Danio rerio: one gene and its partner. The protein of the gene in region 2 purifies or fractionates together with the protein of the main gene of each other region. This does not show direct contact. Links are inferred from orthologs where the notes say so. Each region holds a gene or a part of one and is shown on either strand. Other genes may lie near its edges.

Evidence for each region.
Region 1: the proteins of casc3 (region 2) and upf2 fractionate together in Homo sapiens (co-fractionation; 3 studies listed by BioGRID and IntAct). This does not show direct contact. The link is inferred for Danio rerio from reciprocal best matches to the Homo sapiens genes CASC3 and UPF2.

What each region holds. Positions count from the first base shown.
Region 1 is NC_133179.1:1,376,448-1,381,766, reverse strand, and holds part of upf2 (regulator of nonsense transcripts 2), read left to right. Parts: intron 1-1,330; coding exon 1,331-1,491; intron 1,492-1,720; coding exon 1,721-1,897; intron 1,898-2,080; coding exon 2,081-2,218; intron 2,219-2,827; coding exon 2,828-2,931; intron 2,932-3,725; coding exon 3,726-3,811; intron 3,812-3,914; coding exon 3,915-4,023; intron 4,024-5,319. UniProt on the Homo sapiens protein: Involved in nonsense-mediated decay (NMD) of mRNAs containing premature stop codons by associating with the nuclear exon junction complex (EJC).
Region 2 is NC_133178.1:22,191,406-22,196,724, reverse strand, and holds part of casc3 (protein CASC3), read left to right. Parts: intron 1-284; coding exon 285-479; intron 480-4,183; coding exon 4,184-4,326; intron 4,327-4,468; coding exon 4,469-4,645; intron 4,646-5,319. UniProt on the Homo sapiens protein: Required for pre-mRNA splicing as component of the spliceosome. Core component of the splicing-dependent multiprotein exon junction complex (EJC) deposited at splice junctions on mRNAs.

The DNA of each region.
Region 1 (5,319 bases), on a different chromosome or scaffold from region 2:
TCCACACCATCACCAGCATCCACTTGGATGATGCGACGGCAGCCACAGGACAACGGCGCCAGTGCGCTCACCACACACCAGCTATTGGTGGAGTGGAGAGACAGTGATTGAGCCAGTTTGGTGGAAGGGGATGGTTGGGAGGGCATGATCGTAAGAGCCGATTGAAGGACTTTGGCCAGGACACTGGGGTTACATCCCTGCTCTTTCCCGAGAAGTGCCATGGGATTATTAATGACCACAGAGAGTCAGGACCTCGATTTAACGTCTCATCCGAAAGACGGCGCCCACTGACATGTGTATGGATTTTGTATGGATGTGTAAAATCCCTACAAAGTATAGAGCAGTTCTTGTCTCGTGACTCGCGGTTTTGTCACAGTTTTGTTCCATGCATAAACATGCTGTTGAGAAGCCTTTATGATGAATTAACCATGCCAAATTAAATTGCGGTTAATAGTGAAATCAGTTACATCTCTAATTATAATTGACCAGGAGCTGTATTTAATTTCATTGCAATGTTTAACTATAAAGTTTATCCAGGCATAAAAAGGGATGTCTCTAACTTTATGAAAGATTATTATATTTATGTAAATATTAAAACTATAGTATTATTCTACATTTTAAAATGTGTCTATCTGAAGATTGCTAGACTTTCAGAAAATCATAAAGCACTGTGCATTTCATTAGTACAGTATCATTGCTTCACTGTATTTATCAATGTTTGCAATTGGTTTATTGTATTTTTTGCAGATGCTTTCTCTTATAAAATCATCCCAATGTATCTACAATTATAAATTCCTACCAAATAGGTCTATTTATTTTATATGGTGAAATTATACTAAATATTGCAATATCTATTGTAGAAAAATAAAATATCACAATGTCATTTTTTCCAATATCATGCAGCCCTGTTATATAATGTTTGAGACTTAAAATGACAAATACATAAAAATGACAAATTGTAGGTCTTTCCAACAGGGAAAACCAGCAACAATCAATCAAGAATGCATGATTATACTGTCATGGCTTTGCAATCGAAAAATTTTATTATAATGGAAGTCAATGGGGTAAAAACAGCCCCCAACATAACCAAAGGGGAGTAAATTTGGCCAGTCTACTGTTGAGTTTTTGAATAATTCCAAAGCATTTTCCCAAAATATGTGTCAAAATACAATTTATCAGCAAAATCATTAAACTTGCTGAAACACAGAGATAATTGTGGCCAAATTAAGCCTTAAAAATTACCCCAGAGTGGATAAAGAACGACCCAACAGCACACACAGGTATAAAAACAACTTTTATAAAATTGTACATGTGTTTTGTGTGTGTCCAGACGTATCCTGCACTCTAAAGGCGAGCTGAGCGAGGACAGACACAAGCAGTACGAGGAGTTCGCCACACAGTACCAGAAGCTGCTGGCCAACACTCAGACTCTGGCCGACCTGCTGGACGAGAACATGCCGGAACTGCCCCAGGACAAAACCGTACAGGAAGGTGCGACCGCACCATAGAGAGTTTGTGTTGACATATGAGACCACAAAATCAGTCATAAGTGTGCTTTTTTTTTAAAACGTCCACTTTTAAGTAGTTCAAATCAAGTTCTTACCATTGCATAACACTAATCAAATTAATATGATCTTATTCTATTTGGCAAATCCAAATAATGCAAAAGTATTATCGTAAGGTATTTTACAACATGCAGCGTGTGTGTTTTGTGTGGCAGAGCACGGTCCAGGCATCGACATCTTCACACCGGGGAAGCCAGGAGAGTATGATCTAGAAGGAGGAATCTGGGAGGATGAAGATGCAAGAAACTTCTATGAGAACATGGTGGATCTGAAAGCGTTTGTTCCTGCAATCCTGTTCAAAGACAACGAGAAGAGCAGCCAGAGCAGCAAAGGTAGCATCAGGCATTTTTTATGCAATATTTGAAAATGTGCACAGAATTAGGTGGATGGAAACTAGCTAAATGCTGCTTTGTTCAAACATTCTCCAGAATATCTGAACCACTCGAGTATGGCTAAATGGAGAGGACTAATATGTTTTTGATGAACTAATAATTGTGTGTGCTTGTGTGTTACAGAAAGCCGAGAGGGAAACAGCACTGAGGAGCTGGAGATGGAGCTGGAGGCGCTGGACATCGCTGATGAACCGATGGATCTGGATGCAACCGATGAAGTGGAGAGTGAAGAACTGGCCAAAAAACTGCTGGATGAGCAAGGTACAATATTCAAGACAAGCTGATCAGCTCAGCGCAGCTTCAAAACCTCCAGCTTCTGTTATCAATCATTGTTTCTGAGTTTGTTATCTCAAAATGATTACTTTTTATTTATTTACTGAAGTTCTGAGATGCTTTTACTACTATTACTGCTACTAAAAGCTTTTTAAAGTGACTTTTTAAAGTATTTTTTGCTTCAATTCTGAGTTTACATTTAAAATAAGACTAAATAATAGGAAAATAAAAATAATTATTTTAATTATTTAAAATAATAAATTTTTTCAAATTCATATCCTGCATTTTTCTTGTTAATGTTCTTTAATTTAGGTCAGATTTTCAGATGATATCTCATTTGATTTTTAATTATAAAATTGTTATAATTATTATTAAACAAATATGATATTATTACTATTATGATTTGTGGGGATTTTTGATTTCCCTCTGAGTTATGAATTTGTTTGTTAACTGCTAGAAAAAAATAACTAAATGCAGTATTCTAATCTCCCTTGCATATTTTCATTGTGTGTGATCATGTAAGTGTTTCTATGCACTGCTCATCATGTTACTGTCAGTTTCATGAATGAGTAAAGCATCATTGTGCTGTGTTTACAGAGCAGGAGGATGAGGAGGCCAGCACCGGCTCTCATCTAAAGCTCATCGTGGACGCTTTCATTCAGCAGCTGCCAAACTGCATTAACAGAGACCTGATCGACAAGGTGAACGGGCAAAACACACACAAACTCAAACACACACACACACACACACACACACACACACAGATTTGTTAATTTTGTGATTTCTTAACTTAATTATTAGAAGTTAAATATTTAACATTTTTTGTTAAATACTGTAGTGTTTAATGCTATTAATATTTTCTTAATTTTCAAAAGGTTACTTATATATTGAAATTTTATAATTATTCTTTATACTCGTTATATATGCAAACAGTTCAGTTCACGGTTTTCAGTAAATACTTTAAATTTATTGAGATTTTTCTTATGTTGTCTTAATTTTTCTTTTGTAAGTTCATTAGAATTTTTATGACCATTTTATTATTTATTTATTTTATTGTTTATTTGTTTTGTTATTTATTTATTTATTTTATTATTTATTTATTGTTATTAGTGTTATTATTTATTCATTGTTATTTATTTCTTTTATTATTTGTTTATTTATATTATTATTTATTGATTTTAATCATATATTTTTATTTTTTATTTTTTATTTAATTTCTGTTTCTTTTATTCATTATTTTTATGTTGTTTAAAAAAAACAATATATATATATATATATATATATATATATATATATATATATATATATATATATATATATATATATATATATATAAATATACATACATACATACATACATACATACATACATACATACATACACATTGTTTATGTCAGTCTTTAATCAAAAGATTTAATTAATCTTCAATTAATTTCAATCAAAAATGTTGAATAGTTGCAAGGTTAAGATTTTCTGTATATTTTTTTCCCCCAGGCTGCAATGGACTTCTGCATGAACATGAACACCAAGTCAAACCGCAGGAAGTTAGTCCGTGCTCTGTTCACAGTGCCCAGACAGAGGTGTGTGTTTGTGTTCAACTGTGTGTTCATCTGTTCTCCACTAGATGGAGCTGCTAATCTTCTTTCAGTTGTGTTGATGTGTGTGTGTGTATTTGTGCTTCAGGTTGGATCTGCTGCCGTTTTACGCCCGTCTGGTGGCCACTCTTCACCCGTGTATGTCTGACGTGGCTGAAGACCTCTGCTCCATGCTCAAAGGAGACTTCAGATTTCATGTGAGTGCTGTAGTGCATTGTGGGATTGGCTTCTCCACTACTAGTGCTTCCTTTTGAAGTTTGATATTTTATTACATTAATATCTGCATTCTGGAACATAAATAGAGCATCAAAGTACAGCTGGAAAAATCTGAAAATGCAATATTTAAATTTTCTGCCATATATATATATATATTATAAGGTGAAAACTATTTCACCAGATGGCTTGAATAGCTCCATTTAGAAATAATTAATTTAGATTGATAGGGATAATCAATAATGGGATTGAATTATCCATAAAAGTAATAAACAAATTAAAGCAATAGAGAAACACAACAGAGGTATGATAAAAATGATATAAACAGTAGGGCTGTACAATATATCACAAAATTATTAGGATAATAGTATATGATATCTCCATATCGCTGAGAAGTGTACAAAATTGACTGCATTTTAAGTGCTAAGAGTTTGTGTGCTGCATGCATATATTGTTTATCCAGATCTGAAGCCTTACTATCTTCATCTCCACCTGTGGTGAAACGAGCTGAAATTAATACTAATGCTGGGAGACGAAAGGGAGGACAATAATAGGAATCAGATTATCTGCTGGTGTTTTCAGTTATTCGTGGTGTTTTAAAGTCTAAATGTGTTTGTTTTTTTTATTTAATTTAGCTGAGAATAATAGATATTACCTGTTTATTTTAGTATGATCATTGCATATCATACTAAAAGAAGAAATATTGTTATTGCAACACTTAACAACAGTGTTGTATATATTCTCAGTATCATGCAGCCCTTATGAACACTGCTTTATGGTTTTTCGGGGAGTCTAACAGTATTCAGGGACAGAAATGATATAATCGAATGTTAAAGTATAGTCTTCATTAAGACTGTACAGTAAATTCATCTTTATTAAAGTTTCAAACGGATAATTTGTTGTGCCTGAATCCTCTCTTGAAATGCTCAGACAGTCACAGGCCTTAAAAACACATGCAGATGATAAACGTTCACACTGTTATGGTTAAACTCCACAAACCTGATGTGTTCTGAACTGTGGCTATTAAATATGACAGCTATAATTCCAATAAACATTGTGCACCATGCATTGTTACTATTGAAGATATGTATAAGAGTGGATTAAACCCTATTGTCATTTCACATTTACAAGTACAAGGCAGCAAAATGCAGTTCAGGTGTAACCATGAGTGCAATGCTGACAGGTAACATTTACAGATGGATGTACTGTAAACAAATATACAGGTTGTATTAACCATACTCAGATATTTATCAATAGATATCTACAGGTTGCTCTTGATA
Region 2 (5,319 bases):
ATTGTCCTTTTCTACTGTTGCTTGTTAGACTAAGCATGTTCTGTGAGATTATCCAAAATGTTTGTGAATTTATTTATTTATTTATTTTTCTCTCTTCCCCTCAGCTTAAACCATGGCCTTTGATTTATTAAATACAAAGACTTGTGGTGACAGTGACACTGCTTTGTTTAGGGGAAAACCTTTTTTGTGTTGTTTTTTCTGGCTTATATTTGCTGATATGTAATTGTTCAGCTAAATTTCATGTTTATTTTATGGAATTCACTGTTATTTGTCAATCGTTTTAGGGAGGAGAGGAGGAGGAGGAGGCAGAGCGTTTCAGTGAAGAAGAGGCCTCACGTCCTGCTGCAGAATCCAAACCTGTTGCAGATGCTCCGACAGAAGAGCTTGTTGAAGGAGAGGAGAGAGATGAAAGTGTGAAGGAAGTTAAAGCAGATGAGAAGGGGAACCTTGCCGGCGAGCGACAGAGTGGAGACGGACAGGTAAGGAAGTACAGAACATTCAGTCTTTTGCTATGCTAAATTCCTGGCAGGATTCAGTTTCTGTTTTTTGCGGAAGTTGTAAGGGTGTGCAATATTTATGCGATAATATTGACGTTATGGAATCTGACACCACACCATCACAACTATTGACTGTGTGAAAGTCTATTAGAATTGAGTTGATTTGCTCTTCAAAATTAACTTTAAACAGAGTGATTCCTGTTTTGATGTTTGTACAATATTATACAATACAGTTAAATCCGTTTCACAGAGCAATGTAAAATTTGCAGTTCTGCTAACATGAAGTGGATAGTTACATTTATTATTCTTTAATAGAGCTGTGAACCTACACTGGTCTCATGGTTCGGTTACAATTAACATGCCATCGATTCGGTTTAATTCGATATCACGGTGCATTGTCAATGCTTTTCTATACAGTTTTATATTTTCTTCACAGTACAGCAACTCTTGTATTAAAATGTGTCAATATTTATATATTATTTTTAATACAATTTTGTCCTTTAATACAAACAGTCAGATATATAAACTGTGCCTATAAACAACACGAGCATTTATAGCAAATAAACACATAAATATCCCGCTCGCTTTCTGAGTTCTTGGTCACGCGCTCAACTCAAAGGGCTGCGATTGGCTCTACGGGCTGGCGTTGTTCACATAGAAGTAAAGCCTGGTTTAAACACAGATAAACGGCAGCGGCGATCCATGATAGATGTTAGGGAGAAAACTCTGCAGACATGCGCTCGTGTCTGTATCCAGAAGTATCGCTGTAACAGCTGAGAGGAGAGGAAAAGTGATGCCAACAGGTCAAATGGGCCACAGTGAGAGAGACAGAGATGGAGTACTTTCTCTCAATCGCAGTGAAATAGGGGTTTCTGCTGTAATTGTCAGAGAAAGACTGTCCAGCAAACACACAGTTTCTGTGTTTTTAAGTAGCTGGAGCATTGTAAATACTCGCGCTCCCCTCCCTCGTCACAGTAAGCTACGGCGACATAGCACATATGACGTTAATGTCACTGCTTATTAACCGGTTATGATTATTACTGAACCGATACCAAATTGTCCGTGTCTGCATCACACTGCACAGAAGAAACAATTAATTTTGACACCCATATTCTTTAATAATTTTTGTGTTACTTTCTGAAATACTTTCTCATACTTTGTGTGTGTCTGTTTTTATTTTATTTAATTTTTTTTAAGTCACACTGTAAAGCCCAATTTATACTTTCGCCGACTCCGCATCGCAGACCTCCGCTGACTGTCTTGGCACCTCGAGTAACAGACAAGGCTTTTATACTTGACTTGTTCACCGTAGTGATATTCTTTAAAATGACAGGGGATGGTTAAAAAAAAAACAACAACTGTAAAATCAGACAAATTAACAGATGTGGGAAGTTTCTGGAACTACGTCATTTCATTAATATCAGTCAAGATTTTTTTAACTATTTTTTTAAAATAAATAATTTATCATAATGATTATAAAGATTTTTAAAACAAATTAAATTTTTTTTAATCTAACTTTATTACATATCTTGCTTTTGTTCATATCTCAGACAGTTCTGCCTATTAAAGTTCAATATCAGTGACAACAGAACATGGGTTGCTCTACAAATATATGTTTTTTTATTATGGCAGGAATAAAAGCCATAATTTTATTATTTTTTTAAGAATTTGCCCGCTCTACAATACACACATTACTGTCTGACTAGTTTGTGTCCTCTGTGTCAAAGCAATAATGGTCCAACATTCCAGACCATTATTATCAATAAAGCTAAGAAAAACACGGCATCAGTATATTTTAAACCGATAGCTCTAAAAATTCCTTTCCCGTTATCAAACAAATAATTGACTTCATTTTAGTTTTGTAACTAATAAATCATTTTAAGTTCAAAATTGTAAAATGTACATCAGTGTATGACCTATGAATGGTTTATTTTTTTATTTTTAACAAACTTATCACTCAAGTTTGTTTCCTGTAATCTGCTTTAATGCGTATGGCCACCCCACCCCTAACCCCAACCCCCAGTGACATAATTTTGTAGAATATGTGCAAGGAAGGAGGAGCTGAAGCTGAGCTCTGCCTAAGTGGCTCTGCAGTGAGTACCACTAGAGTTTTTCTAAACTTTTTAACAAAAACATAACTTTTTTTTTTCCACGGCTGTTGCAATTTCTAGCCAAGAATTATTACTCATCATTATCCCTGTTATCATGCATGCATGGATGGATCATATAGATGTCGTACCTGTTTTAGACTAGATCTTTTCAAAGTTTTTCATATTTACTCAATCGAAACGCAGTGCCTCACAAACTGTTCGCTTGAATCTCTAGTTTCATGCACTCTGCCAGACAAAATCATGTCGGTGCACCCAAAGCGAACTTCCACAAACTATGCGATGACGCCACATTCGCCGCATGCACTCAAGCGAACTAGCGAACACAAAGTATAAATCAGTTTTAAGATCTCTGCTGTCATAATGTCAGACTGAAAAACAAAGACATGCCAAACACTGAAGAAAACTCACCCAGAGTTTGATGTCATCCATAATAATAATATTATTGTATATAAGAATATATTAGATAACGAATTTTAGCCTAGGATTTCAGGAACCTTTTAGGATTTCCCAAATTTGTTTTAGATGTCCAAATTGCAGTGTATGTCTCATATTTGGGCTCTTTTAAATGCACTATCAGGGTATCCGCAGAGTCTTAAAGTCTTAAAATCTCTCAAAATCTTAATGTCTTTACTTAAAATATACATTTTAGGCGTTATAGAGGCTTAAATTTTCTGAAATATTGTTGTAGGTCTTAAGTCTTTTTTAACAGCTTCTTAATGATCTGGCCATTAACACTCATATAATCACCAACAAGCTCAATCTCAATTAAACTTAACTTTTTATTTAAAAATTACACTAAACTACTTTCCTTACAGCAACATGTTTAAACATTCTCCATTTATTTACTAATAAGAATACTGACCTGACCCATATTTTTATCGTTATTATTGTATTATTAAGTTATAATAATAATTTTTTTGATAGGGCAAGCGAACATCTTTTCCAATTGGGATATTCAAATAAAACTTTTTAGCATTTAGCCCTGTGTAAGTCTAAAATTTCATTCATATTGGTCTTAAAATGCCTTAAAGTCTTAAGTTTAACTTGGTGAAACCTACAGAAACCCTAACTATACTTGAATCCAAACTGAATTTTAAAAAACCTAGTTATCTTCTGTAGCCTATATAGACTTTAAACTAGACCATTACCTCAGTGACACTTCTGCTTGACACCCAAGTGCTGCTGCTGCTCCCAGTGTAAATGCACTAATCTGACAACATGAATACTGGGAAGAATACACTGCTCATGATGTGAAACTGGCCTAAATGTCATTTATTTATCCATGACAGACCAAAGCGGTTAAAATATCAGCACAAAAACTGTGTGCAGTTGCTTATTGGCAAAATCCCGGTTTTCACACTCTCACCCCTTAGGATGGAATCACATTTAAACCCTTAGCAAGTATTTTAACAGGAACATTTTGGCAAATAATTAAAACAGTCCTCTGACAGATTTAAAGTGTTTGGCTGTGATGCCACAGTCTGCACCGAGACTGTTAAATCACTCTGTCAGTAGTGCTATTGATTGCAAATAATTTTCAGGGCAGAACTCAAGTTAAGACTCAAATGTTTACAGGAAAGCACAGAGGATCCTGAAAATAAAGGCAGTAAAGGCCAGAAGCTGGATGATGATGAGGACAGAAAAAATCCAGCATACATCCCTCGAAAAGGCCTTTTCTTTGAGCATGACGTGAGAGGCCAGGCAACTGAGGAGGAGAGGTGAGGAGGGTTTCTTTCAGACATACATTCATATAATTAATAAATATACAGAATTTGAAGATAAGTTTCAAGTATTGAATCAGTTCTGTGCTGCACAATTCTCACTTTGGTGCCTCCACTCTGTTTGTCCATCTGTCTTCAGGCCTAAAGGCAGAAACAGGAAGTTGTGGAAGGACGAAGGTCGATGGGAACATGACAAGTTCCGTGAAGAGGAGCAGGCACCGAAATCTCGTGATGAGCTGATTGCTTTTTACGGCTATGACATCCGCAATGGCACAGGGCCCAGTGACGGACGATCATATCGCTCCCGAAAACCCAGGTGAGCTCATGGTCATTTCATGTGTATAAGTGATACTGGTGATATGTCAATTTTAATTGTTGTGCTTTTAATGTTTGTTTGTCATTTCTCACCTCCTGATTAAACAGACTCTATGTGAAAGGGGTCCAATCAGTTTCTAAATGGTCAGTTGAAATGCTACTAAAAATTATCAGAAGAGATGGTAAAGGATTGTTGTCAATTCAAAGAAGAGACCAAACCAGGGAATTTTCGGGAATCTTCAAAGCAGAATCCTTTAATAAGAACTTGCTGTTGATGTGGCATTCATGGAAAGATCTCTACTAATTCGGGTCATGGAACCAAAAACTGTTGTGAATTCAAAGAGACAATACCAAGGGAGACTTTCTGGCATCATCAAAGCAAAATCCTTTAATAAGAACTCTGCGTCGCTTTGGCGTTCATCGAAAGATCTCTACTAGTGCAGCCAAGCACTCAGTTTTACATACATTTTTACAGACATATGTAGAGACAGCCAAAACGAAGCATGCAAATGCAGTCCTGGGGTCAGCATGATGTGGTCAAAAGAAGTATTGGGGTCAGAACCCCTCCTGCCACTTGACCAGTTATGTTATGATCTCTAAATATGTTTGGTGACTAAAATATTATTTTAATATATCTATTTAATAAATCTGTTTTGTGTAAATGCACCAAACATA